Linked DNA regions of Oreochromis niloticus. The protein of the gene in region 3 interacts with the protein of the main gene of each other region in a pairwise test. Links are inferred from orthologs where the notes say so. Each region holds a gene or a part of one and is shown on either strand. Other genes may lie near its edges. The genes, in order: pex16, pex10, pex19 and pex11b.

What was found.
Region 1: the proteins of pex19 (region 3) and pex16 interact in binary tests that used the Homo sapiens proteins (3 or more experiments, as listed by UniProt). The link is inferred for Oreochromis niloticus from reciprocal best matches to the Homo sapiens genes PEX19 and PEX16.
Region 2: the proteins of pex19 (region 3) and pex10 interact in a two-hybrid assay, tested with the Homo sapiens proteins (4 studies listed by BioGRID and IntAct, with this or other methods). The link is inferred for Oreochromis niloticus from reciprocal best matches to the Homo sapiens genes PEX19 and PEX10.
Region 4: the proteins of pex19 (region 3) and pex11b interact in binary tests that used the Homo sapiens proteins (3 or more experiments, as listed by UniProt). The link is inferred for Oreochromis niloticus from reciprocal best matches to the Homo sapiens genes PEX19 and PEX11B.

What each region holds. Positions count from the first base shown.
Region 1 is NC_031965.2:3,407,287-3,414,825, reverse strand, and holds the start of pex16 (peroxisomal biogenesis factor 16), read right to left. Parts: upstream 3,001-7,539; 5' UTR 2,998-3,000; coding exon 2,922-2,997; intron 2,829-2,921; coding exon 2,685-2,828; intron 2,465-2,684; coding exon 2,429-2,464; intron 1,848-2,428; coding exon 1,771-1,847; intron 511-1,770; coding exon 377-510; intron 1-376. Other genes in the region: cars1 (cysteine--tRNA ligase, cytoplasmic), read left to right, coding at 4,864-4,885, 6,438-6,665. UniProt on the Homo sapiens protein: Required for peroxisome membrane biogenesis. May play a role in early stages of peroxisome assembly. Can recruit other peroxisomal proteins, such as PEX3 and PMP34, to de novo peroxisomes derived from the endoplasmic reticulum (ER).
Region 2 is NC_031984.2:35,139,016-35,145,956, reverse strand, and holds the start of pex10 (peroxisome biogenesis factor 10), read right to left. Parts: upstream 3,018-6,941; 5' UTR 2,755-3,017; coding exon 2,643-2,754; intron 795-2,642; coding exon 714-794; intron 640-713; coding exon 236-639; intron 1-235.
Region 3 is NC_031982.2:26,253,760-26,261,016, reverse strand, and holds the start of pex19 (peroxisomal biogenesis factor 19), read right to left. Parts: upstream 3,008-7,257; 5' UTR 2,940-3,007; coding exon 2,876-2,939; intron 1,417-2,875; coding exon 1,328-1,416; intron 1-1,327. UniProt on the Homo sapiens protein: Necessary for early peroxisomal biogenesis. Acts both as a cytosolic chaperone and as an import receptor for peroxisomal membrane proteins (PMPs).
Region 4 is NC_031985.2:35,570,327-35,578,153, forward strand, and holds the start of pex11b (peroxisomal membrane protein 11B), read left to right. Parts: upstream 1-4,820; 5' UTR 4,821-5,040; coding exon 5,041-5,096; intron 5,097-5,103; exon of another isoform or gene 5,104-5,308; intron 5,309-5,389; coding exon 5,390-5,502; intron 5,503-5,582; coding exon 5,583-5,784; intron 5,785-6,759; coding exon 6,760-7,153; 3' UTR 7,154-7,827. UniProt on the Homo sapiens protein: Involved in peroxisomal proliferation. May regulate peroxisome division by recruiting the dynamin-related GTPase DNM1L to the peroxisomal membrane. Promotes membrane protrusion and elongation on the peroxisomal surface.

The DNA.
Region 1 (7,539 bases), on a different chromosome or scaffold from region 3:
CCCAGCTACACACCACAAGGCCAAAAATATGTGGACATGCAATGAATGCTAAGGTTCTTTGGAGTTCTTTTAAATTTGTGATGCCAAATTTAAAACCAATCTTTGTGGAATGTCCTTTGACAGGTACACTGTCATGTTGAAACAACCACAAAGATGGAACACCATTTGTCTAACATAGACTATATTTTGTGCCTATGCATTAAAGCAATAGGCACAGAAGGAAAGCTAATGTTCTCTTTTGCAGCTCCATTTGCACATGTACAGTAGTAATTTTTACTTTTCCATTTTCCAAAAAAATAACTTAAAATGTAGCCTGTGCAAAATCAGTATCAGTGTTTTTATAATTTCAAATTAAAGTCAAGTTTCCAAGTCATACTTAAAAATCTGAATAAGTCCGATGACAAGCCATCGTCCAACTTCACCCCACAGCTTACAGGCCCCCATCTCCAGGAAGACCTCCACATACTCCAGCACAGACAGCCAAGTCAGGAGCCTCTGTTGAGAGATGGACTAGAAACACCACAATACAAAGGATGGACGACTTATTAGATGAAGAAGGATGAAACCCCTCACTTCTTCCCAAAACAACATCCTATGCACAGTTTCTGAAGTCTTTGTATAGTTTCTTTATTGAAGGAAACCGTACAGTAAAAGATGGATGCAGCCACGGTGATGTCAGCCATTGGTTTCTCGGCCCCACTATTTGAGCCTCAGTGTTAGTGTTTTGGCTGCCGTAATGTTGGTTTTAAAAACCAGAAGTTAACATATTTGGAAAACAGGGTGGAGTGCTAAGTTCTCGGCTCACACTAGCACTGGTTACCAAGCTGCCTTCTTAAAACTGTACAGAAGGAACAGGCAGCCACACTGCTACTCATCACAAGCCAAGCTTCTTTAGCACAATTTAATCACCCAACTATAGTGTTTATGAAGGGAGTACAAAAGTATAAAGACCAAAAACTACTTTGTACCAATCTGGTTTAATGATAATTTGATGCTGGGCATTATTGGAGCCTTTGGAATCAGCCTTAAGCAGCTACAGCTGGCTATTCAGACACATTTAGATGAGAAGGCCTGGCTCACAGTCTCCGCTCTAATTTATCCCAAAGGTGTGGTCAGGACTCTGTGCAGGCAAGTCAAGTTCTTCCACACCAAACTCACTCATCCATGTCTTTATGGACCTTGCTTTGTGCACTGGTGCGCAGTCATGTTAAAACAGGAAGGGGCCATCCAGAAACTGTTCCCACAAAGCTGGGAGCATGAAAATGTCCCAAATGTCTTGGTATGCTGAAGCATTAAGAGTTCCTTTTAATGAAACTAAGGCGCTGAGTGCTTAAAAACACCCGCACACCAAAATCCCCCCTCCACCAAACTTTACACTCGGCACAGTGCAGTCAGACTAGTGGCGTTTTCCTGGCAACTGACTCATCCATCAGACTGCCACTGCTCTAGTGTCCAGTGGCAGCGAGCTTTAAACCACAGAATTCAATGACCTGGATGGGTAAGTGAATACTTTGGCAATACAGTGTATTTGTCTTATTGTGCTCTGGTAAATCCTATAGGGTCATTAATACTATAAAAACTGATCATGGTAACAATAGACTAAGACCATAAGTTTTTTTTAGCATCTCTTTAGAATTTCTAGTTTTTATTGCTGCACCACAAAGGACAGCCATTTAAATTTCATTGCACTCTTCTGCAAAGAGAGTAAATGCTATTCTTTTCTACTGTACTGTGAGAACTGATTTTTGTTTGAATGAAAGCAGAGCTCACCACAGGAAAGGTACATCTCAGCCCTTTGCGCAGAATGTGGTCATTGAATAGCACCAGGAGATTGGAGGCAGAGTACACTAAAAAGATACAAAGTGATGACGAAAATATTTGAATAGTACACAGATTACATAAGACCTATATACAGTATGTTCATTTGTGGACACATAATGCTTAGAAAACTGAAAAGAATGCATAGTGATAATATAACCTGTAAAGTTTCCTCACAGCTCAATATTAATATCAAAACCAGTCCATTATTATTCCCAAGTAAGTATACGGTAATATAATTAATCTGCAAACCATTTATGTCCATTATGTAACTGACGAAAAAGATATTTCAAAAAGTTGTATAATGCTAAAAATAAATAGATATTTATTTTGTTTAGTATAATGTTTTGGCGCATAGGCTGGGAGAGGTTCACCATTCTCCAATGAACTATTTCAAAGATACTTCTCGATGTAAAACAGGACATAATCTGGGATTTGAGAGAACATAATGTCTCTCCTGAGATCTCTGAGCCTTCTGGCTTTTCAGAATTTATGTATTCATTCATATTTCTTCATTCACATGGCAAACTCCTACTAATATAGAAGGTGCTGATGCAAGAAAGAACTTAGCGCTAACTAGTCTCTGTGTTGGTCCTTAACATCTACTTACCTAGTTCAGATATTTCATGGGAATCTGTAAATCTCCCTGCAAAAAAACAAACAAACAAAGAAAACATGCCGTCATTCATTTTGCACTGCACAAGCACTTGTAGCTAGTGTTACCGAGCTAAAGTGAAACTAACAAGAGATCTGGAGCGTTGATTTCCAAAAAAACAACCATAACGCCAGTTGAGCTTTTGCACTACTTCTAAACGGAGAGCCTTAATCCCAACACACTGTATATAAAAACTGCTTCTACGACTGACCTGCGAGCAGGTAAGAGAGAGTCCGCACGGTACTCTCCAGCTGCGCGGTGGCAGCTGGGTTTCTCCTCACATACTCGGTGTAGCGTTCATAAATACGCGTCACTTTGTCCAAATACTCCTTAACGTGAGACATTTCAGCTTCCTCTGAAAGACACACTCTGCATTTAACCGCTGTGCTCACAACAGACCAGCTAATCTACTTTTATGACTTCTCACTCCTATATTCTAAAAGTATACCGTAAACTTCCGCTTCTTCTTCTTCTTCTTCTTCTTCCGCCTCCCATGGCTGTTGGCAAACAGCGAAACGGTGCATTACTCCCACCAACCGGTACGGAGTGTGGCCCGAAAAGTAGCTTTTAAAATTTTTTTATTTCAATATGATCCAGATCAGAGGATTTAACCATCACTGTACCGAGGAGGAGGTTTTGGAGTTGCCTTGTCAGCACCTGACACTCCTGTTAGTGTAATATAAGATGTTCAACAGTTTCTTCGTCTCCACAGTAATTACATTTTCCTGTACTGCGTTTCCATGTTATGATTATGAATAATGTTGTTTAAACTAGTGTGGCCACGTCTGAGTCGTAATATGACCATCCTCTCCTGCTCCTTCCTGTTTCTCATTTTTCACAGATTTTCTTTGAACACATGAAAGGCAGTCCTGTTCGTTTAATAATCATCATCGGTGGATGTCACATAAAAAGTTAGGACGCGTGCCAAAGTCAGGGGTTAAAAGTCGGACTGTGTTTTTTGTTTTGTTTTTTTGCCACAACACCAGAATGACTGCAGGTGTCCCTAAGTTGCGGTTGTGGTACTTCAGCATGTACCTCTAGTGAAGAGGAGCATAAAGGGAGTGAGATTTTTTTTAAGTGGCAGGTAATTTCAAATATAGCGTTTCTATCAGCTCAACAAAAATCAGCCAACACACAAACTGTTTGTGTGAAGTTTGTCTCACAGTGTGTTGCTAGCTAAAGGTCCAGCTGCTGTATTTCACAGGGATAGAAAGGAAAGAGAGGCAACTTCACTCAGAGATGGAGAAAGCGAGGAAAGACAGGACAAGAGAGGAAGAAGAGAGGTCAGATTTAAATGTAAGGACTGCTAAGTGGTGTTTGATAAACTGGAAATTTGAAGCTTAAAGAATAGTGTGTGACTGGTGCACAGTAGCCTTGGGTTCAGGGTCAGAGTCAGGTTAGATCAAGTGTAGCAGAGATTCAAATGAATTTTAGCTGATGATCCACTGACTGAATTCCACCTTCATAAAAATTTATACCATCTAGAAAACAGACAGCATAAACAGGGTACTGTCAGTGTAGAGGATGGAAATCAGCCAGGACAACTCATGAAACACCTGCTAACACCTTGTTGAATTAATTTGTGTAAATCCACAAAGAGCAGCAGGTCAGCTGATCACAGCCTATACACTAAGAAAATATACTGGAGCTGTCAATAGAAGTTATTGTGTTATTATTCTTTTCCCCACATTGAGCCATTACAGCCAATTTTAGGGTTCCTCCACCTGCTAAATCCCACTTTAACCCCTGACTGTACCCTGTTTAAAGGCAAAGTCACCCTCTACAGTGTAGGCAACAAAAAATATATATATATTTTTTTATTTTCTTTCTTTTTTCCAGATTCAATCTGAGTATGATTAGAATTTAAAAAAAATTGACAACAGTTTGTATTCCCAAATCCTGATATTATTTGATCATTATGTTAATACAGCACGCGGTTCAGTTAGCTTTGCACAGAAATAGAAACATCCTCCAAAGAGCTACTTTTTACTTTCTTATTTTGAGTTTGAAACTGTACTTTTTTACTTTTACTTGCATAAACAACTTGAATAAGTATTTTTTTTAATAGTAGTATTTGTACTTCTGTTTTACTACAGAATGTCGGTACTTTTCCACTGAGATTTAAAACCACATTCCAAGAAATACCAAGAAATCATTTTTTAAATTTTTTCCAACTTTTTCTTAAACATACACACACAAACGCCAAACAAAACAAAACAAAACAAAAAACCCATTGTCTCAACTTCCGCTTTGACGAGTGTACCATCATTTATGTCCGCCAGCTCTCAGGTTCAAACACTTTGGTTCCTATTCCTACTCCTCGTTTATACGGGTTCTTCTTCCGGGCACGTTATTGTTGCATCAGCATCCAGCCTTTGACTACTGTGACAATGTCGGCTTCGGGAGATCCGGGTACAGTAAATAATATATGGTGTTTGCTTTTATGGGTTCGTTAGTTGAAAAACCGCATAAAGCTATGACAGCACAATCTAACGCATTTTGATGAAGTGTCACAGCGAATATGCTAACGCTCAGGCTAGCTAATATGTAGAGCTGTGCCCCAAAGTGCAGTTGAGCCGCTTAGCTAAAGGAAACACTGTCAATGAGTGACAAGCCGAATTTCATATACAAATACTGCTTAAACCAATACTTAACACCTGGGCAAAGACACAGGGCAGCAAATATTATTCAGCAATTTGTCTGCGTTCAAAAAAGGTAGCCTCATCTTCGGCTCATTTATCCAGTCAAACAGAATGTTAGAAGTAACTACAGTTTATTCTCTTTTATTTGTTTATAGTGTTTTAGTGAACCTATTCGACTCTGTGTGATTTATACGTTTGTAATTTAACAAACTGAAATGTATTGTTGTTTTTCTTCATATAAAATAAGGAGTCAAATGGAACTGGCTATGAAAATGTTTTATACACATGTAATTTTGTTGTCCTCATTATTTTACACAGGCTAACTTCTGCAGACCTGCACTTTAAAAAACAAAACAAAAAACTGCAGTTATTATCCTGTTTATTTGGGGATATTTCCAGGGGGAATTAAAAGCTGAAAGGTGTTGGGTGTTTTTGTTGAACAGTGTTTTGTTTAAGTCTATTTCGGGTTTAAGTTCCAGCTTCTTTCGTGTCATCTTTAAGAATATTATTAGCATCCGAAAGTATCGCCTTTCTGTTTGATATTTTTTCAAAGGTTTATGGAAAGCATTGAAATTATTATTAGTATTATTATTATTGGTATTGGTAGTAGTGGTAGTATGCTTACTGTGATTTTTACTCTCAGGTCAGTAATTTAAATTTTATACAGCACAACAATGAAATAAAACAGTCGAGGTGTGATTAAAGTGTAGACTTTCAGCTTCAAGTTAAGAAGGAAATTAACCTAAAATGACTATGAAATTGCTTATTAGTATGTTCCTAATTTACCTTTAAACCAGTGAAACCTGACCCTTTAAAACATTGGTAACATTAACAGTTTTACCAATATATTTACTGTATTTATTTTCAGCCCCTTGAATCGATAAAAAAAATGTGATCCTGTCCAAATACTTGTTGACCTGCAGTTAGAATTACAGCTCAAATAGTAATATGAAAATCACGGGTTGCTTCTATAAGACATGTAACCTGCATCCTTAATTACGTATTTTTTCCTCCATCTTTTGCTTTCTCCCGTTTCCACTCAGTGCTTGCACCTCTCTTGTTTTCTTATACATATATAAGGTTCTCTGTGAGTGGCTAAAGGCCAGTGTTATTCAGCATTAGTTCTGCTAGGCTATGTTTGGGTAGCGAGTAGTTTCATTTAACTCACTCATAAGTGCAGTTTACATTGGACGTGTGCCGACTTTCCAACTGATCGAGTAATTCTTGGCTCTGACCAAAGTCATTAGTCTCATTGGTTATTCCACTGTCCAGTGGAGTAAGGTGGTAATTCTTTGCGAACATTTGCCCTCTTGTTTCTGCAGCCTTTGAGTATGGCTTCTTGCTACAGATAAGTGAGGAGGCTGCACTGACAGTGGCCCTGAATGACTACCTAACCTCACGCAGCTACCTGGCTGGGTTCAGCCCCACCCAGGTCGACCAGAAAGCCTTTAAGCTCCTCCACAGACCCCCAGATCCACAACATGTCCACGCTCTGCGCTGGTACAGACACATAGCAGCCCTGCAACAGGACCTCAACCCAGAAAGCAGCAGTGAGTAGAAAGCTGAAGGCATGAACAGGCTAGATGTGGTCCTGCGCCTGCTGGCCGTGGATGTGGAGGCACTCTGAGGCTGTGACGTGCCCTCTTAAACAAACTGACTCTCAGCATGAACTAAGGCTTCCTTTGCAGGCACTGGAATGAATTCTGTTTTAGCTTGCACTTTTGATGTCAGTCATAGCAGCTTGATGTGTGTGGTACCTGCAGCTAAGCGCTGAGGAGACTCGCGTTATCGCTGTGTAAACACGGCAGCAACAGCTGGTGAAGACCCCACAGGCAAATACTCTTTGTTCCCATACCTGGCTAAATAGCTTAATATTAATAAGGACAACTTTACAAAAAATGTAAAACATCATGAAAAGAAACTGAGTAACTGATGATAGAACACAGAAATGTTTATTTATTAATCTAAACGATGTGTAAGAGCGTACTTGGATTTTCTCAGTTCTCTTACCAGAGCTGCTGCCTAATAACTCCTGGAGGTTACGTGGCTGATGTGAGTGGGAGTGAAACTCTTATTAAAAAACCCCATAAATAGTAAATTTGACCTATTATGCTCACTTTCATCTCTGTATTTTCATCCTGGGACTCCAGTGCATTGTTTTGCTCAACTGAGTGAAAAGTTGTCTTATGCTGTGCCAGTCTCGGATGTCTAGATTTCCTTCATTTCTTTCACCTTCACTTTCCATTTAACTCTGCTGTGTTACTGGAAAATTCCATTCTTCCATTCTTCTTTACAAGGACACAGTAAGCACGATAGATGTAAGTTTGGGGTCTGAAAGGTGAAGCAAAACCAGAAATCCTTCAAAACTATATTTTTTCAAATTTATTTTTACCATGTGGTTGTTAAAAGACTTCTGGTTCTGTA
Region 2 (6,941 bases), on a different chromosome or scaffold from region 3:
AACACACACACACAGATTCATGAAGATACGAGCTGTAGGATGAAATGTCACTTTCAATGGACTCCAAGTAAAATCAGGGTCACAATTCTGCAAAGAAGAGTGGCACAGAATTCATCCACAGTGAAACCAAAGATGATCTGAAGCGTGTCAGGATGACAAATATGCAAAAAACAACAAAAAGAAATAACTCGGGGACAAATATTTCCCACAGCACTGGATTTTTTTAATTACCTACATAACTAATATCAGCCAGTCTCTTGGACAGGTGGTGGAACGAGCCAGTGACGTAAAACAGAGCCGAGTGGAGGCGATAGAGGAGGGTCAGGCTCTGCTGGAGGACAAACACAGCGTTCAGACACGCCCTCCTCTGGGGCTCTGAACACAGCGCCGCCGCTTTCTGGACCCATCTCCTCAGCCAAGCCTCGAGGCTCCATGGCACGGACCCCACCTGCTGCCGACCGCGGCTCTCTTGCCCGCCTTCAAGCTCGTTCTCCAGACACACCAGCAGCTTGTCCAACAGATAAGGAACGAAGGCGTGGCAGAGGACAAACACACCTCGTCTGGCTGGAGAGGGGATCTGACGTTTAGTGGGATCCACTTGGACAATGTTAACATATTCCTCACCCAGAGTCTGATAGCCTGGAGAGGAGAACCATCAATCAAAACAGGAAATCAGCTAAATGCATTAACTGAACATGGTTTGTGGTGACTACCCAAGAATGTTGTTAGGCCAAAATATGCAAGATCTGACAACAGCTCGATCTCCTTCCTCCACTCCAGCCATCGTCTGGATCCTACAGAGATGAAGAAAACATACAGAGGTTACAATTACCTCACTTTGGCAATATAATGTAATATAATGCCTAACATGAAATATGTTTGATTAATATGCTTCATCCCACAGACAAATATCTTTACAGTGCATATACACATGGATTATACACAGAGACAAACTTGTATTTGTCTGACAGCTTCAGCTTCTACTTACATGGGTAAAAAGAAAACTCACAAGCTGCATGTTTCTGATCAAATAAAGAGTAGATTATAGATTAAATATTCCTTTATTGGGGGAGAAAATCTCCCTATATCATAACTGTTTTAGGTCAGATGGGCTGATTTTTGCTAAACGGTCCAACAGAGCAGAGATGATACAAACACCAAATGCTTACGTCAAAACACACACATGTGCAGCAGTCAGTAACATGTAACAAACATATGTAGCAGCGACATTACTTCAAAATACACCATGATTCATACAAGTGAAAAAAAATTACTGCAGTAATTTAGCTTGACATTTATTTTCAGGTACATGTTGGTGTTTATTACGAACAAGTGCTATTATTTTAAAATCTAAAAATCTTGAAATTGACCGAACACCACTGTAAGGGTATACAGCAGTAACAATGTTAGTGTGTTTATCTGGGACAGATAAACAGCAACACAAGTCATGTTTATTCATGGTTTCCTTTTGAAACCGGCCATATTTCACACATACACAGCAAATCCATGAAAACCACCTGACAACAGTGTGCTCAGTGGACATTTCTGAGAGCTGCATGTGGAGGAAGCTGTGTTGGAGCGAATACTATTCATTGTAGCTATCATGCTGTCCATTGCTGTTTTGAGATCCCCGCTTAGTTTTGCAAACTGTCTAATGCACACATCAGTGTAAGCTTATCATGTGAGGTGCAACAGCCAATCAGAGTGGCTCTTCTTCCTTTTAATGGGATTCTGAATTCAAAAAAAGTGGCTAATATATAAGCAAATTCAAAGGGCTGTTATTTTGAAATAGTCAATCAGACTGGGGTCTCGCTTGCTTGCGGCTCCTAGAGTACTGAAAAGCAGAACGGGAGGCAGAGCCCTCAGGCTCCTCTGTGGAACCAGCTTCCAGTTTGGACTGGGGAGACAGACGCCCTCTCTGCCTTTAGGATCGAGCTCTAAACCTTCCTCTTTGATAAAGCATACAGTTGGATCAGGTGACCCTGAATCCTCCCTTAGTTATGATGCTATTTTCTTCCTGTTAAAAGGGAAGTTTTTCCTTTTCACTGTCGCCAAAGAGCTTCCTCACAGGGGTCATCTGATTCTGGGGTTTTTCTCTGTTTTCTTTGTATTATTGTAGAATCTTTACCTTACAATATAAAGCGTCTGAGGCAACTGTTGTTATGACTTGGTGCTATATAAATAAAACTGTTTTTGACAAAGTGACGTTTATATATTATTCTATTATTCTATTATATTATATTATTATTATATATTCTTTATTTCTCCAGTTAAAAAATCTCATTCACATCAAAAAAATATTTCTGGCCAACAACTATAACCATAGTTTTATGAAGATATTTTACGAGGCCAAAAAAGACTGGATTGGTTACAATGTAGTTACAATATCACAGAGTCATAAGGATCCAGTTTAGATCTACAGTTTATATATAACCCCTTTGTAAATAATCCTGCTCACTAAAGGCTGTTTCCCCATAAAAGTAAAGACATCAGAAACACCTGAAGTCACAGACCGTGATTACACCGGGAGACAAACACCTGTCGCATCGCAGGACGAGCTCGAAAGTGAACTACGTTAAAACAAGACATTCAGTCCTTATACCCAGAATCACAGAGTGCCGGTTTAGCTGTGCTTCTCTTACCGGCCAGAGTCTGGAAGGCGTCGTTAGCGCTGTTCCTCAGAGAGCTTCGATAATAGTCGTCCTTCTGACTGCACCGAATCAGCTGAGCCCGAGTCGCAGGAGCCAGGGGCATCGTCCGGTACAGCCGGTCACACGCTGTGACACCGAGATATCACCGTCCAGGGTACTGCTCTTCATTCACACGCAGGCTGAAGTCAAGTCGTCCGGTCACTACACCAGATAAAACAAACCTAACTGCTCTTATTCTGATCCGAGCTGCATTTTGCACACTCTCAACGTCCACTAACATCCACTGAGAGTGTTTAGAGTAGCTGCGGAGTTTTGAGCCGCTCCAGGAAACATTACCGGAACTGTCTGCTGTACAAACAGACAGACAGCCAACCCTATAACTCACAGCGCCTCTCAGGGGCAGGGAGGAGCACTACAAGCGCACAAGGTTTGGATTTCATCCGATTGTGTTTAACAAGGTATCAAGCTGTCATCTTATATTATGTGTTCAGCTTTTAAAACATACACTCCTAACAAAACAAAACCACCTTTGTTTTTTACTCACTCTTTGTCAAAGACCACCTGACCCTTCAAGAAGAGTCAGTGTACATTGTAGTGCTCATGTACTTGGTGGAAACAACTGGAGGAAAACAATCAAAATTCTTAAAAACTGATAATGTAAAGATCTGTGTGTGTACGTCAAACAGATGAGTTAGACACAGTGAAAGCACTTACAGGTCTGACTGAAAGAAAACGTGACCGACTGACGGACTCAGGCACAGTGTTCACTCACAGTTAGACATTTCCTCTGGAAACCATGGATGCTGTCCTATATAAGCTAAAAATGTGGGTGACCATCCATCTAGTTATCATAGCATAGTTCGAAAGCCGAAGTGTTGAAGTGAGCACCATGGTGAGATCTAAAGAGCTGTCTGATGCCCTCAGAAAGAAGATTGTGGCCGCTTGTGAGTCTGGTAAGGGATTCAAAAAGGTCTCAAAAGAATGTGACATTAGCCATTCCACCATTTGGAAAATTGTTTACAAGTGGAGGACACTAAAACAACTGCCACCATGCCCCGGTCTGGCCGTCCAAGCATATTCACCCCCAGAGCAGACCACAAGATGCTCAAAGAAGTCATCAAAAAACCTAAAATGTCATCACAGGAACTACAGCAGGCTCTCTACTGTCGATGTGAACGTGCATGACTCTACTATCAGAAAGAAACTACACAAGTTTGACTTTCATGGAAGGTGTGCAAGGAGGAAACCTTTGCTCTCTAGGAGAAACATTAAGGCCAGACTGAAGTTTGCCAGAGAGAACGTAGACAAAGACCACGACTTCTGGAATAATGTTCTTTGGACAGATGAGTCTAAAACTGCATTATTTGGACACCAGAGCAGTAAACATGTTTGACGTAAACCAAATACAGCCTTCCAAGAAAAGAACCTCATACTAACTGTGAAGCATGGAGGTGGCAGTATCATAGTTTGGGGATGCTTTGCTTCAGCAGGATCTGGCCAGCTCATAGAATTCTACTGTGTATCAGAGGGCGAAGAACATGTGAAAACCATCTGTTAAAAAAATTAAGCTGAAGCAGAACTGGACACTGCAACATGACAATGACCCAAATCATACCAGCAAATCCACCAAGGACTGGCTAAAACTAAGCAGAGAGTCCTGGATTGGCCAAGTGAAAGCTCTGATCTTAATCCCATTGAGATGCTGTGGGGTGACCTGAAACAGGCTGTACATGCAAGAAACCCTCAAACATCTCACAGCTGAAAGAATTCTGCATTGAGGAGTGGACCAAACTTGCTTCTGATCAACGTCAGAGACTGGTAGAAGGCTACAAAAGGAGCCTCACTGAAGTTATATCAGCCAAAGGGGGCAACACTAGTTATTAGGGGGTAGGGTGTCCTAACTTTTTCCTCCATTAAAATACACATTTTTGTTCATATCTTTACGATGTGTAACAATCGTTTAATTTTTGTTGTTTAATTGCAATTAAGTCACTTTCTTTTCCAGTAATACGCGAAAACATGACTTTGGACATTGATACGTGAACATTTATTAATAAAGAGCTGATTATTTTATGGGGTGTCCTAATTTTCTCACATGACTGTATAATTGTAGCATGAGCTACTGCCACGTTTGTGAAAGCACCATTAATGCTGAATTATATGAGTCTGGATGCCAAACTGGCCTAATCTAATCTTTAAAGGGAAACATTTTCATTTTTAAACTACAGCAACTTTTTCCAGATTGTTTTTCTTCTCTGCTACAATATGGAAGAATTTTAAAACATAATCAGTCATAAGCAACAATCATTATATTCTGCTTTTATTTACACTTTACATGGAATCCAAGTGTTTTTGGAAACAGGTTTTTAACTCTGTGCAGTAGCTGAGCTGGTGTTTTTAGTTCAGTCTGTACTGTAAGTAGGGTAAATACATGCATCCATGCTGTGCTGCGATCTGCCTGGAAATGCAGAACCATTTTTTTTACTGCTGTCCCCTGGGCTGCTGGAGTTGTCTCATTATGAGTCCACTTTTATTCTCTCACTGTGACTTTTCTTAGCGCTTGCCTCCATCCTTGAACAGCTGACCCAACCATCCAGCACACCAAGAAGTTGAGCTTCACTCTGTGTGAGTGGAGGAGTCTGGATCTTTTCTTTCCCTCTCTTCAATTCGGCACCTACTTTAATACCATTACTATGTTGCGAATAGAAAGAGGAAGGTGTGGGAAGGACTTGGACTAAATCACTAGCAGTACACAAGGAGAGGCTGGGATTCCACAGCTACAACAGAAACTTGTCATGTTTCATGAACCTCGTATTGTCTACAAACAGGTTTCTGAGACAGCGCACAGTGTATGATGGCTCGGTCGACGAGCTGAAGGTTCGCGAATGCACAGAGAAATATTAATCTGTTCCCTGACAGTCAGATTATATAATACAGCTTACAGGCGACTCAGTGAAGGTGAAGGTTTTAATGGCATCATGGATCAAAGGAAGGTGTTTGCATTCACTGTACAATACCTGAGCAAGCACACATGACTGTTAGACACGTTATCTGTGACTCACATTGGTGATAGTAAAGAACATCCTGCATTACTTTAAAAGTAAAGAGTAAAGTAAATGGTAATACTTTACAGTTACTGAGTAAAGACTTTGACACTGGTCAGTTCACATGAGGGCAACAAAAACAGACTGAGGTCATTTTGCATGTCAAAGAGTTTGACAGAGTTCAGTAGCCCAGTATATGCAGGATATACTCTGAACACTGGATTCAGAAATGAGTTCCCTTCATATTCACTTGCAGGCTGATCTTTAAATTAAATGCCAAGAATTCAAAATGTAAACCAGCAAACTTACCAGTGGGCCAAAAAAAATGCTGAATACAAACCCACACCACAAACAAAGAAGGGAATTCAGGACAATCATTTCAATCGATTCTCTTTCACCTTGGTTTTTCTGTAATATTACACACTGGCATGTCTGCCCAGTGGCCAAAAAGTTGTGATACAATATGTCATAAACTTACACTGTACTGCCAAAAGTATTCACTCACCCACTCAGACATTAACCTGATAGAAGACCTCTGGGATAAATTTGAGTTCTTCTTGTCCAACATCAGCGTCTGACCACATAAATCACTCCTAAAACCAACCTTCTTTACACCTTTGCATAAATATGGAGCCTGTATTTATATCCAGTAAACCCACATGGATGCACACTACAGTATGTGTGAAGTCCTGCAATAAGCTGGTTTTTAGTTTTTTTTTTTCATATTCTGTGCCTTCTGCCTTAAAAACAAACACTTTGAGCACTTAAAGCACTTTCTGTCATGTGCCGTCACACATCTATGTTTGTAACCCCATGAAATTATACACTGCACACACAAATATAATGATTCACATCATTCTTGTTTATGCATAATGCATTATCATTCCTTTGGTGTCCAGATGTCAGAGTGAATGAACCGAGTTTAGTCTCCACAGCGATTTTTTCCGGGTCGCCTGCAATATTTCTTTAATTCTAGCAGATGGCACAATTGAGCGACACATCAACATCGTGCCAATACGATGTGGATGCAGTAAGAGGAACGTGCCACAGTCCACGAGGCGTCATTAGAGATGTTTGACACTGAGACTCTGAAGCTTGTTTCATCTCAGCCGAAGCGTGTCATCTCACTGTGGCGTGGCTTATGTCAGATCTTTGTAATCACATGACCGATGACGCTGAGGCTTCACTATGAAACACCAGAGGTGACGTGACTGATTCAAATATTTGGTGCTGTTTCATTTGTCAG
Region 3 (7,257 bases):
AGAGAAAAAAACCCCAAAATACCTTATTTAGAAATAAGGAAAAACTGAGGGAGATGTTCTTCTTTTCACTCCATCTGAATTGAAACTGTTTTGTTTTTATGTTCTAGACCCGACTCTAGCTTACACTTGATGTAAACCTGCAGCAGTCTTGCTTCCTAATAGTAAAAGAACCAACATTTGAAAGCTCAAAACTAAAATAACACCGACACTTTCTAGTTTGCAGTTTTGGATAGAAAATTAACAGAAAAAGACAGAAAAGCACTGCTTTATCAGTCAAATATTGCCATCTGCAAATACTGATATTTACTGATATCAGGAAATAAGAAAGTTGCGATGTTTATCTGTTGTGTGACCTCAGTTTTTTTGGTGGTGAAATGTTAAAAAAAAAGTGATGAAGGACTGAAAAGACTTCAAATTGTCTCAGTTCTTTCTTTAAAATCAACATTTCCTAGTTTTCCTAACATTATGGGGAATACACAACAGTAATACACAACTGCCCTCTGGCAGACGGTACAGAAGCCTGCAGACCAGGACCACCCGACACAGGAACAGTTTCTTTCCCCTCGCCATCTCCCTCCTAAACAGTTGACCTGTCACACTGCTCCCCACTGCCAGACTGCAACTGCACCTTATGTACATTCTGTAGTATTCATTCCACCTCATTTCATTTCTGTATTTTATGTATATAAGTTTAGTTATTTATAGTTGGTTTACACAGCTTTGTGTATGTATGTGTATGCATGTGTAATGTATATATAGACGTGTGTGTGTGTGTGTGTGTGTTTTACATTGCTGTGCTTGATAGCCACCATCTACCGGAACCAAATTCCTTGTATTTGTCTGCACATATACTTGGCCAATAAACACGATTCTGATTCTGATTCTGAAAAAACTGAAAAAAAAAAAAAAAAAGTATTGGTATTCACTATTAGCCAAACTTTTATTTAAAAATTTGCCACCGGGACACCACCATGGTTGGACTCAACTCTGATGGAGATGAGAGAGCATACAGGACGGATGTAGAGAACTTGTCCCTCTGGTGCTTAGAAAATAACCTGAAGCTAAACGTCCTTAAAACAAAAGAACTCATAATGGACTTCAGGAGGCACAGACAGGTCCATTCCCCACTGATTATAAATGGAGAACGGGTGGAATCTGTCTCCACCTTCAGGTTTCTGGGCACCTGGACCCACAACACCATCACCCCGGTAAAGAAGGCCCAGCAGCGGCCGCACTTCCTCCGTGTCCTGAGGCAGAAAAATCTGAACCGGAAGCTGCTGCTGGCCTTCTATTCTAAACATTCTATTCTAAATTATTTCGCAAGCACCTTTTGTGCACCACTGCTGGCTGAGGACGAAGCGGCTGCAGGTTCAGGGGCTGGAGGGACGGACGCCTTCTCAAAGTCATCCAACGCACCTGAAAGAAAGCGATGACATTAGAACCAATTCAGTCAAAATGCATTTAATGGTTTCATATTCACTGACAAATAATTATCCAGTTATCCCATTGCTATGGGTTTGTCCCATTGCTATGGGATAACTGGGATAACTGATGGGCAGGATGTCAGCATATGACATCCTGCTGCAGCATATGATGCTGCAGCAATTTTTCTGAACTATAAAATTGTCTATTCTATAAAATTCTTGTTTTTAATCAACTCATTCTGAGTTCAAAATAAAAAAGGATTATTTTCATTATTAAAGAAAATTAGCAAAAGCATAATATATTCACATTTTAAAACACAAAGGCAGTGACTTTTTTTTTTTTTTACTAATCAATTAATCAACAATCACTTCATTCTTCAAACACTCATTTTGACCTTTAATTAGCAAAACACAACAACCTGCTTAATCTTAAACTGACCACAAGAGTGGCAAAGAAAGGTTATTTAAGTAACTTAGAATATGAAATGGTTGTTCAGAAACTGCTGATTTACTGGGATGTTCCCACACAACCATCACTGCGGTTTAAAGAGAATGGTGTGAAAAGAGAAAAGATCCAGTGAGCAGCAGTTCTCTGGGTGAAAATGTCATGTTGATGTCAGAGGTCAGAGAATAGCCAGGAAGCTTCGAGCTGACAGGAAGGCAACATTAACTTAAATAACCACTCAATGCAACCAGTCAACACAGAAAAGCATCTCTGAATGCAAAATACATCAAACTTTGAAGTACAAGGGCTACAGGGGCATAAGACCACGCCAGGTGAAATTCCTGTCAACGAAGAACTAATTTGAAAACTAGAAGCTTAGAAAAGGTTTGACTGGTCTGATGAGTCTTGATTTCTGCTGCAACATTTGGATGGAAGGGTCAGAATTTGGTGCACATAACACAATAATATGTTGTCTTATGTAAGACAAATGATGACTTTAAATTGAAGGAAAAATATATAAAGTGGTTTGAAGATTTTTAGCCCTTTTCTGATTGTTTTATTATTGTTATGAATGTCTTTTATATTGAAAACCTACTGTTGAGAAAATAAAACTGTATATAATTTAGCCTTTATACATATTTGGAAAAATAAAACACTTTAAATCCTAAGCTGGGTTGTTTTGAAAATTTGCCTTGAACAAAATATGTCGTTAAGGAAATTGACTCCGTGTTCTGTGCAGATACACGATGAAGGGCACAAACTGAACCCGGATAAAGTTATCTGACAGCAGAGACATGAAGCGATTCGTGCTGACGTTTCTTCTTGAACATTACTTCTGCAGATCTTTGGGACCCGGGCAGGAGCACCTGACGTTGAGCTAAGCCCTGACACGGTGGAAGCACAACAACAACAAAAAAGGACACGGCGACACCACGAAGCTGCACGAAAATCCCACTGCTGTGTTCAGAAATACACACACTGATAAAATATTAATGCCGAGTCTTACTGTCTAATAATTCTTCCAGCTCTGCATCGTGTCCATCGGACGACCCTCCTGTTCCTGACGCCATGATGTTGCCTTCTCCAACCCAGCGCGGAAACTGCCGCTTCTGCTGTAAAAATGTCGCGAACACCTCTACGTCACTCACCCGAGTCTGATTTTAAATGTAGCGCCGCCTCGTGGCCGGTTAAATATTTTACTCTGGAGTGTTGTTTAGTGTTATGGAAAACGCGCACACAAAAGCACAAATGTTTACATAATACTTCCTGTATTTAATTTCTGTTTTTATTAGAATTTATGTGACTTTTTAAATGTTTTCTATTTAATTGTGGTCACCCTTTTGTGTCATTTTCACTGTACAATTTGCCTTTATTTCATTGTTCTTTGAGATTGTCTTTATTTTAAAGTATCCTACTTTTATTAAATTATAAATATTTTACAGATTTTGTTTGGACATGGTGTTTATCCCATCTTCACCTCGTTGTTCTTATTATTACAATGGACAAATTCTGTATCTGTAAATGTCATTGATAAGAAACCACACTGCTCTGTACATTTAGTCAGTTTAAAACTCGCAAACATTAAACTACAGTTGTTTTATTTGAGAGTCCTGATAGAGAAGTATAGGGAAGATTAAAAGGACTTGAACTGTGGATCTAGCCAAAGCGTGTGATAGAATGAAGTCAGGAGTGGCAGAGAAGTGTGTGAGGGTGGTGCGGGACACGTATAAGGACAGTGAGACAGTGGTGATGTGTGCAGTTTAACTGATAGATGGGTTGAAGGTGGGGGTGGGATTATATCGGGGTTTAGCTCTGAGCACCTTCTTGTTTGGACAGGTTGGCAGATGAGGTCAGCCTGGAGTCTCTGTGGACGTCGATGTTCGTGGATAACATTGTGATCTATATTGAGAGCAGGCAGCATGTGGAAGAGAGCCTGGAGAGATGGAGGTATGCAATGGAAAGAAGAGGAATGAAAATAAGTAGAAGGCAAGATAGATTACATGTGTTTGAATGAGAGGGAGACAGGTGTAAGAGTGAAGCTGCAAGAAGTGGTGATAGTGAAGGTAGTTGATTTTAAGTACTTTGCGTAAACCATCCAAAGCAATGGATGGTGCACACGAGAGGTGAAGAAGAGAGTGCAGGCAGGGAGGAGTGTGTGGAGCCAAGTATCAGGGGTGATGTATGATAGAAGGACAGCAGCAAGAGTGAAAAAAAAGTTTAAGGCTTACAAGATCACCTGTTATGATGTCATCTTGGAGATCATGGCACCATCACTGGAAATGGTTACATCAGAGGGGCAGCTCAGGTTGAATAGCTTGGAGACAAAGTTAGTAAGGAAAGGCTGAAATGGTTGGATCATGCAAAGAAGGGTGTTGAAGATGGAGCTGCCAGACAGAAAGATTAATTGACATGGTAGACAGAGGCTGAGATGAAAGCAAATGATCCACTGTGGTGAACTCTGCTAAAGGGAGCAGCAAAAGAAGAGGAGGAAAACTCTGAAACATGAAGTGAATCAATATCATTACAGTTTATAGTGGTTATTATCCTTAGTTTTAGGCTGATAGAGAACCTGATTTATTTTCCCTTGTTTTTTATATCACGTGTTGTATTTTTGGACATGATATGAACATGTAAGATGCTGTTCTTAAAACGTGGGTTACTGAATTCTGAGCAATAGTTAGTTCATTTAGTCCTCATCTAACCCCTTAACTGTGCAGCCATTGTGCCAAATATCAGAGATTAGAAATATTATAACTTTATATCATTATGTTCAGATGCACTCCTGTGTGCAAAGTGGAAAAATTATTAATTAATTTGAATTAGAAAGACTAGTTGAGTACTTTAATCTCTTTGTGCTTCTTAGAATCCTCTCCAGTTCAGACACTTTGTGCCACAATTTTTGTGATACAGCTGTAGTGCACCAGATTTTTTTTATTTATTTATTTATTTTTTTTTATTGCCACTGTACATGTTTATCTACATTGGCACTCTGTACATTTCAGGCAACAAAGTATATATCTCATTTACAGTGACAAATTTTTTTTCTTCTTTTCTCTCCTTCCCCCTCCTTCCCCTTCCCCTCCTTCCTCTCCCTCTCCTTTTTACATAAAATATAATTACCATTATATAAACGATCATATATCAGAATTTTTTTAATACAAAGCACAAGATGAATTTTACAGAGACATTATAACACACAGGGCACTAGCCTATATAATAGATCATGGAACAGACATTCACATTTGTCATTATATTGGAAAATATATTGTTAGGCATCAACATTTTACTTTTAAATGGACTTCGAGAACTATAAATACTTTCAGAACCAGTAGAATCGTATATGAGCAAGACATAGTGTGTAAAGGAGTGTAACTTCCTTTTTAATGTCATGTGGAAATTGATTTATTTAGAAATTCAATAATAAAACCCCTGAGCTGTGTCATGAAGAACTACTATTACGTAGTAAAATACACTTAAAAAAATGTCTATCTAGTTATTAGCCCCACAGGCCTTAATTGTTGAAATGTGAACGATTTAAATAAGTCAAATCAGTCTTGTATAAATGCCTATGTGATACCAGATGTCGGGGGTTTCCTTTTTCTATTTTCAGGAAACGCGTCAGTTTTACAGTCCATACACTGTAAAATGTAATTCTAGCTGTTTGTTATTTCAACATATTGTAGCGGGCCAGGGCTGTTCGGGGTTTTGTTTTGACAGTCATGTTTTGTTGTTACGTTGCCATGGTTACAGGTGACGCTCTCTCTCTGCGTCTGTGGCCCTTTTCTTTCAAGTTCACAGGCTGTTGTATTTTGATGGAAGTTCATTTTGGCAATATTTCCAATAACTGACTGGGTTCAAAAAGAACTTTTTGGCAGGACTCCGATGCTTGTTGTCATCTGTTTACCCCTATGTAATCACTTAAGTTGTTATTAACTGCTGCATGCTAAGCTGCAAGAGTGCGCTGAGGACTGAGACAAAATATGGTCTACAAACCAGCATTATATTAGTTTTTATCAGATAGTCCTCCAGTGTGCTTATTTTTTGCTTTAATTATATTGTGCAGTTATTTGTTACCCAAAAAATGCTTAATGCTTAACAACAGCTCACTATTTTGACTTATTTTTGAACTCTTGTGATCAGTATGACTAGATTGTGTGAGTTTTCATACTAAAAGAGCTGTAGTGATAAAATAACTGGCATCAGAGACACTGATTTTTGGTATGGTATACTGCAGAAGTTTTTTTTTTTTTTTTTGCATAATTTACCTTTTAATTAAACTGCATTCTCTGTATTGTAACAAAACTAACATTGTTTATATGTCAGAAAATTAGCAAACATGAGTAAATGGCGAAAACAATATAATTATAACATATATTTTTATTTTACTTATTTTAGGTCTGTGAAGCCAAACTTGATGCTGGGGATATATTTTTGTCAGTGGAGTCAAATGGTAAGTTACAATTTGTGCATTTTGTCATACTGGAAACACCACAGATTATATTGTAACTTAATAGCTCTGTAGAACAAATGATATAAAGATTGTAGTGTCAGGGTACTTCTTAAGAAGTAATATTGCACTATTGATGATCGCATGCAGGTGGCATAAACTAAATATTCAGACGTGCTACCAACAAATGATTCATTAACAAAAGCAATGGAGCAGACTGTTTAGGTTCTTGTGGTTGTAATAACATCCATAACTGCAGGTTTGTCATTAATTTATTTTCACAGGTCTAGATGATCACATCTGTCTTTGTTATTTAAATGAGTTGGACTTGCAAACTTTGCACTCTTTTGGGTAAATTGCTGTCCACTACATATACACAGAATGTGCACAGTATTTCAGATCTAAAAAGGGAGTATGTAATGGACTTGCTGGCTTTAATGAAAAAAGCCTGTTGTGTAACTTTAATGAGGCAGTTGGACTAAAACAGTATTGCTCATCAAGGTAAACATCTGAGGAATAAGGAAATTGTTACTTGTCCTTTTACTCAGTGTTCTTTTCATCGCACGTTTACTAAAGTTTTACATCACATGAGTCATTTTCACAATCATTCTACTTTAAAAGATTTCAAGACAGAGCTTATTGTTCTCTGAACTTCCTTGTTCGCTGAACGGCAGGTAAAGTGCATCTTTTTGTTTGTTTGCTTTTGTGTGTTTGTGTTTTCTCTAATGGGCCTCAGATGACTGTTTGCTTAAATTTGGGTCTCAAAGAATCTTTTTTTTATTCTGCCTGTACTCTCCACCCCTCTTCTTCCATTGCTCAGGTTGAAGCAGAATTTGCCTGTCTTACATCTGTTGACCTGAAAGGGTTCCTTTTTGCTGTGCTTGACCATTATGGAGAGGTTCGTGGAGCTGTACAAAATCAAGAGCGGCATAGGAGGGCTA
Region 4 (7,827 bases), on a different chromosome or scaffold from region 3:
GAAGACTACCTTGTGCAAAGAATAAACACTGATACAGATGTGCAATCAGCACGATCAGAGGAAAAGTGTCTCAAATGCTTGGCTACCTAACATTCAGATAATCTTTTTTTTGTTTTTTTGTTTTTTTAAACTTTCTTTTTATTGTTTTTCTTTAGACACTATACGGGGGGGGGGGTAGGGGGGTAACAACAAAACAAAACAACAACAAAAAATAAATAAAATAAATAGTGCAAGTAGGATAACAGAGACAAACAAACAAACAAACAAAAAACAACAGCAACAACAAAAAACAACAAACAAAAAAAAAAAAGGAAAAAGAAAAGCCATGTTGGATCTCCTTGTTTCTACAGTTTGATCATTTCTCATTATCAGTGTGTTGGTCTTTATCCTGTTAGGTTTGTGTACTCAGTCCATTTCTCCCACTTTTTATGGTATTGATCTTCCTGAGTCCTTATTCTGTAGGTCAATTGTTCCATGATTTGTATTTCATCTATAATTTTTATCCATTCGTCCTGTGATGGTGGGTCTATCTTGTTCCATTTTCTTGTAATTGCCTTTTTACAGGCAGCAAGCATAATTTTCAATATGTATCTATCTTCTTTCATCACATTTCCCGGAATGACACCAAAATATAATAATGTACAAGTCTTAGATACAACATAACCCAGAATTTTACCTATAACTAAATGAACATCTGCCCAAAATTTTGTAATCTTGGGACACAACCAGAACACATGGGAATGATTCACATCTACCTCTCCACAGCCCCTCCAACACGGCTGTGGTAATGAGGTATATTTGTTCTTAATTTTAGGTGTTATAAAAAATCTAATTACATTTTTCCAGCAGTGCAGTCTCCAGGCACGTGATGATGTTGTTGACTGCTGTATTTTCCAGATTTGTGACCATTCCCCATCAGATATGTTCACTCCCAACTCTCTCTGCCACTTCGGTTTTACATATGTTGTCGTACACCCTTTCGCCTCCATTATATGCTCGTAAACTGTAGAGATTATTCTAATTTTTTTTGCTTTGTAAACTTCAATTATGATTTTAATTATCGAATTTTTATCCAGATCTACACTATGTTTTACTTCTTTGTTAAAAAAGTCCCTAATCTGTAAATATCTGTAGTGATCTTGATTACTTAGTTCATATTTTTGTTTAATCTCCTGGAAACTCATAAAATTCCCATCTTTGATTAGTGTACACATCGCTGTTAATCCAGTAGGAATCCACTGTTTAAATCTTCGGTCCATAGAACTGGGTGTAAAACCCTTATCATAGGCTATCCATCGGATTAATCCAAGCTCTTTTTCTAGTTTGTATTTTCGTATCAGGTTAAACCATATTTTAAACGTAAACTGAGTGACTGGATTCAGCTGTTTGATTACTCTCATCATTTCTTCTCTGTCTCCTATAAGGCTTTGAATTTCTCTTCCTTGTACTGATTTTTCTAAATTCTTCCATTTGGCTTCATAATCATTGTCACACCAACAAATGATATACCTGATTTGTGCAGCATAAAAGTATGCCTCAAGATTTGGGAGTGCCAAACCCCCTTTATCTAACATTCAGATAATCTGATTGAAATATTTGTTTCTATATTTCATCTATAACATTAAGATATTTCTTAAATACCAAAGCATGAACATGAAAAATACACTGGGTACATATTTATCAGAAGCTACATAATTGAACTGATGTGGACAGAGGTCGGAGCCAGCAACCCGCTCTAACCCAAAGTCACTTTGGACACATAATTCCTGTTTATCCTTCCTTAGATCCTCGACCTCTTTGGACAGGTCTTCTGGAGATGATGCACACATGTCCAGTTCAGGGGTGAGCTCTTCTTGCTCTGGTTCAGTGAGTCGCTTCATTCTGTCCAAAACACGATGATGAGTCTTTTTGACCCGGAACACAAACTTGTTTAACCATGAAATGAACACAACATGAGGATTAACAAAGGGTTTGTGAGTCTGCTACAGAAAAATATCTGTTGCAAATACAGACTTTAATGAGCTGGAAGTAATAAAAGTGTATTGTTGTAAAAATGTTTCATTTGAGCAAAAAACAAAACAAAACAATTTTTTTCTCTTTGTCTTTTTCTGGGTGTTGGTTGTTCAGGAAACTCCATTTGGAAATGTTGGTCAAAGTTACCGATGATTGTTGGTTAGTTCACCTGTAAAGTCAATCTTGTTGTTCTGTGCAGCATTTTTGGGCCTCTGTTTGCCTCAGGTTGTGTCTCAGGTGTCTCAGGTTCTTCCTCCAGTTGTTGTAGAGGAACCACAGCTATAAAAAATGCACTATATAAATATTTGGTAAAAGAAAAAAAAAAACTCAGTCTTTGTTATATAATAATAAAAATAAAAACAATAAATCATTAATGAATTAAAATGTGTTCTTCTTACTAAATAATCATTTCTTTCTTTAAGCTAATCTAAATTTAAGAGCACATTAAACTTTGGTGGACTTTATTTATTGTAATCTGTTTTTTAAATGAGATTAACTAGTTTAGATTTATCTAATAATAATGTAAAACATTTCTGTTTTTTCACATATAAACACATTTGTTCTATGTAAGCTTTGTCTTTTATCTATTGCATATATGTAGCAATACAGTACAATAGTCTTTAAATTGTGCTACATTTGTATAGTATATGCTTCGTTGTTATTTTATCTACACAAATAATAACCCACTGCTCCGCCATTGCTGGAAGCCCCTAAGATAAGCACAGATAAGAACATGTAAAAAAAAAGAAGATAATAACAATAACAACAACAACAACAACAACAACAATAATAATAATTAAAGCTGCAAGCAGCGATATGAGGGCCCTCGCACCCCCGGCGGGTCGAGCCAAGCCCAACACCTAAAACCAGCGCTTCCGATCTGATGTCACATTGATGGAATTCATGCATTTAACCACCAGCTAAAATTTCATCTCATTCAACCATTATTATAGTCGTCCCACTAGGTGGCGCTCTAACCATTACTGACAAATGGCATAACAAACATTTCCGAGCTCGAGTCTCATCACGCCTGCGACCTTTGGGAGAGATTAGACATTGTGTTTTTGAGTGACAGCAGATTACTGCTTTTTGGCGAGTGATTGAAACTCCACATGCCGCCATGACCACCCCGTTTCCCTGAACGTAAAAAGCTTCGCAATTTAACATCACAAAGGTCTTTAGATTCCACACACAGGAGATCGCGTAAATCTAATGAAATCCCTTGGAGGAGTTCGTCAAAGTATGAGGCCTGAAAAGAGGGGAAAATGTCGCCAAATTTACACATTAATTTTAAAATGGCTGACTTCCTGTTGGATTTGGGATATTGCTCCAAGAGACTTTTTTGTACATCTTGATATCTCCAATAAGCTTGCCAGGTTTCAAACTCATACATAAAACACAGAGCAGGGGCTGTTGTTTTGAAATTTTGTAGGGGGCGCTGTGGAGCCATTTTGCGCTGTTCAAGGAAAATGAACATATAAAAAGAAATCCCTCATCACATTAGAGGTGTGCGCCAAATTTCAAGACTTTTTAAACTTTTCAAGCCCCTCAAAAGCCACTTCATCTTTCATGGTGAACTGCGCTGCCACCAGGGTGCGCCGTTCAGTTTATAGTCACAATTTTCTCACTGAAGCATCAAGAGGGACTGATGGTGATATTCACCGCTTTTGAGGTGGCCACGATGAACCTGTGAAAATCAGTACAACAAAATGAAAGACATGACATTTCCTGGTGCCACTAGGTGGCGCTCTACGTATTCCTGACAATGGGCATATCAATCTGTTCAGGGCGGGTCTGACATCATCCCTGTAAAATCTGGTACTGATCAGATTGGATTTCATTGAGTTACACTAATTTGTTTCTTCATGGCGAGACCTCAATGTTCGCCATGCTGCTGGGGTCACACCCTTCAGCGAAAACTCACAGTTTTCTCTGTAACCCAAGACCAACTCCTTAAGGCTTTCCTGGAGAAATTTGAGGCTGCAGATGTCACCCATTACAATACTGTACCCCAAAGTGTAAAACATGACATTTCCTGTTCCCACTAGGTGGCGCTGTCCCTGATGTCAAATATGGCAGTTGAAATATGTTCAGGGGTGGAGCCTTATCATATGTGTCCACTTTGGTCAAGGTCGGACAATGTATGACAGAACGAGAGGCAATAAGATTTTCATGGCGAGTCATCGAAATTCGCCGTGGTGCCACGGCCTCACAGTAACCCGAAAACTCAAAAGCTCCGCAATTTAACATGGCCCAGGTGTGTAGTTGACACTGACCAAATATGAAGCTTGTACGATGAAATTCCAAGGAGGAGTTCGCAAAAGTTCGAGGCGTGGAAATGGCAAAATTAGAGCCAAAATGTCACCTTCACTTCCAAATGGCGGACTTCCTGTTGGGTTTGCGTCAATGGTCCCACTGACTTTTTTGTTCGTCTTGGCATGATACACATGTGTGCCAAATTTCATACATGTAGCTAAAACGATGTGTTCGTAGGGCTGCATTTAACAAGGCATAGGTGGCGCTACAGAGCCATTTCCCAGTGCTCATATGTAAAACCATTAAAATACAAAATTTTTCACCAGACCTGGCATGTGTGCAAAATTCCAAGAGTTTTCGAGCATGTTAAAGCCCTCAAAAAGGCCCTTCTTTTGCCTGAATAATAATAATAATAATAATAATAATAATAATAATAAGAAGAAGAAGAAGAAGAAGAAACAGAGCAGATACAATAGGGCCTTCGCACAGTCAGTGCTCGGGCCCTAATAATAATAATAATAATCTACAGCGCTGGTTTCAAACTCCAGTCCACAGGGGGCGCCAGCGGGTCTCAGCAGCTCGAAGAAGAAGAATTAGAAGCGCTGGATTGACTCTCTTGTTTTCTACTCGGACAGCTAAGCGTAGAAAGCAGAGCTAAAAACTCATGGAGGAGCCCTTCTGGCATTAAAACAAACAACCGCACTAAAGCATTTAAAGCTAAGTTAGCAGTTTGACAGCTAGCCGAGCAGCGGGTACAGGCCGAGAGCCAACATGGACTCTTGGGTTCGCTTTAATGGCCAGAGCCAAGCCAAGGAGAGAGTTTTCAGGTGACGTTACCGACGTTTGGCACATTGCAGGTTGAGACGCGGGGTTCGTCGTGCTTCTTCATTTCTGCGAGTGTGATAAAACCGTCGGCTGGATGTTGCAGACTGAGTTCCGTGTTTGAAGCGGAACTTTTATCTGCTCAGTAGGAGCAGCTCTTCCTGCACTGGTTTCAAATCAAACGGCCTTATGATGCCAGCTCCAGCAGCACAGAGTAGTTGAGTTTGTTAAGCGCACTGCTTTCCGTCCTCGTCACGTGTGTCTCTGTTGATAATGACTGTACGTTGTGCGTTCACAGGGCTGCACAGTATGCTTGCACGCTGCTCGGATCCACTCTGCAACATGACGAAGCAGCTGAGGTCCGCAGAACTGTCAGTCAGCTGGAGGCACACATGAGTCTGACAAGAAAGTGTGAGTAAAACAGCCAGAGCGAGTCTGACTCGTTTCCACGTACCAAAGCTTAAGTGGGGCTGGTGTTGGTTCTTCCACAGTGCTACGCCTGGGCAACTCCGTGGAGGCCCTGGAGGCCGCCAAAAGGGCCATACACCTTTCTGACAGCGTGCTGAGGCTCTGCCTGACCATCAGTCACCTTAACAGAGCCATGTACTTTGCCTGCGACAATGTGCTGTGGGCAGGAAAAACCGGTCTCATCTCCAAACTCGACCAGCACAAGTGGAGTCAGAGATCTTTCAGGTGTGTGAGAAATACATAAATAAGAAATACATGCAGGACTGGTTGTTTAAACAGTCTCATGTTGCTCCACAGATCAAACTATATGTACATCTACTGAATTCTAACTGATCGCAATGAGGGCCTAAAAATCCTCCATGTCGTTCATTATTAACATTATGTTGTATTATTATAGGGTCTTTACACTATAAAGCACATTGGGGCAACTGTTGTTGTGATTTGGCGCTGTATAAATACAGCTGAACTGAGCTGCCTCCCCAGTGAGTCTCTGGTCCCTGTTCAGCTTTCTGGAAAACCTTTTTCAAGAGATACTAAACAGAACTTGTGTGTGGTGAAGTGTGCAGTTATGGCAGCCTCACCAAGGTTACAGAGTAAGTCGAGCCATTGGACAGAGCGACTGTAGTAACGCAGGATGAACCTGTTAATTAGAAGCAGTGGGTTTAATCCAGTTAATCGAGTGCTTCCGATTATGAGGTCTAAGTAATTTCTTGTTGGACTCAGGTTTCCATTTGCAGCTCCTTCAGTCCACATGTCTAACATGGCACTCGAGTGTGTAAGAATACACCAGACATTCCTTTGTGAAAGTGTCACTGAGGCTTTTAATTTGAAAGTACTTTAAGCGCTCATAATAAAAAGGTTCTGTAGAAATGTCAAGTCTGCTTACTGCTAGTGATAGTGAACCTGTTTCAGAGGACATGCAGTGCTTTCAACCAGAGCTGGTGTGATGCCTTTGTGTGGGAAATTAATTCATGGTATTTGTCTCATCTGTGTCTACTTCCAGCAGTTACCCATAGTGGTTTTGAGTTTGTATGACTAAAGTGACATATGCACTCAAAGCCTGATTTGAAGTGAGTGGTTGCAGTCATCTTCATATCAGGGTCACAAAGGAATCACATTTATCTTCTAGTGCTTATCACTGATTTCAGGTAACTGAAATGTAAAATTGAGTTAACACAAACTGTGTGGTTAAACCTGCAGGTACTACCTCTTTGCTTTGATCCTGAACCTGACCCGAGATGCCTACGAGCTGCACCTCCTCATGGAGCGCGAAGCACGTTCCAGAACCAGCAAACAGCCATCCTCCCCCAGTATTCCTCTCCCACCTGACCACCTTTCCTCTTCCTCCTCACCTGCCACACAAGCCATGAATTTTGGCTGGCTCTACAGACAGCTTCATCTGGTGGGGACTGTGCTGTACAGCAACCCGCCACTGCTGTTGGACCTGGTGAAGAACAGTTGTGATATCTTCATCCCACTGGACCGGTTGGGGATTTACCCTACAGGTCCAGGCTTTGTTGGGGCTTGTGGCCTGGCCTCGTCCGTCCTGTCCATCCTCACCATGGTTCACCCCTGGCTCAAGCTCAAACCATAAATTGTAAGACTTGGAGGAGATATTCATTTGAGGACTAGCAAGGATTGAGAAAATTCTAATGGGGTTAACAAAATTTTTTTTCCCCCGATTCTACACAAAGCAGTCCTGACTACGTGAGCCGTTGTACTGCCACCATGCTGTGTGATTGAGTTCCTTCAAATCTCTTGAGTGCTACTGAAAAGCTGAGGAGTTTCTAAAATGCTACATCAGTTTCACATATTATTTCAGACCTGCATGAACACGGTCGTTGCTTGGCCTTAGATCACACTGCTGCTTTACAACCCTCGCTTCCCTCATGTGAGGCTAAACCATGTTAGTTGCTGCCATTCTGCACATAACCATCACATCTCCAGCTCTCTATGACCGTGTCCGTAACAGAGTATAATCAAGGCAATATTGTCTGTGGACATCACTCTAGAACGTGTGATTTCTACCCTCTGTGTTTAACGTTTTTATAGGAAACCACCTTTCGACATCATGTGATTTTACCGTCTGCTCCCAGCAAGTTTGTATTTTAGATATTCTTTTCCATTTTGAACTACTAAGTGACTTAACTACTGGAGAAATAAATCCAAAGGAATTTGATTTGTCTGAATCACTACAGTAAAGTGTAACACGACTAGATCCAGTTGATACATGTAACGACTGGATCTATTGCATTTGTAGCCTTCCAA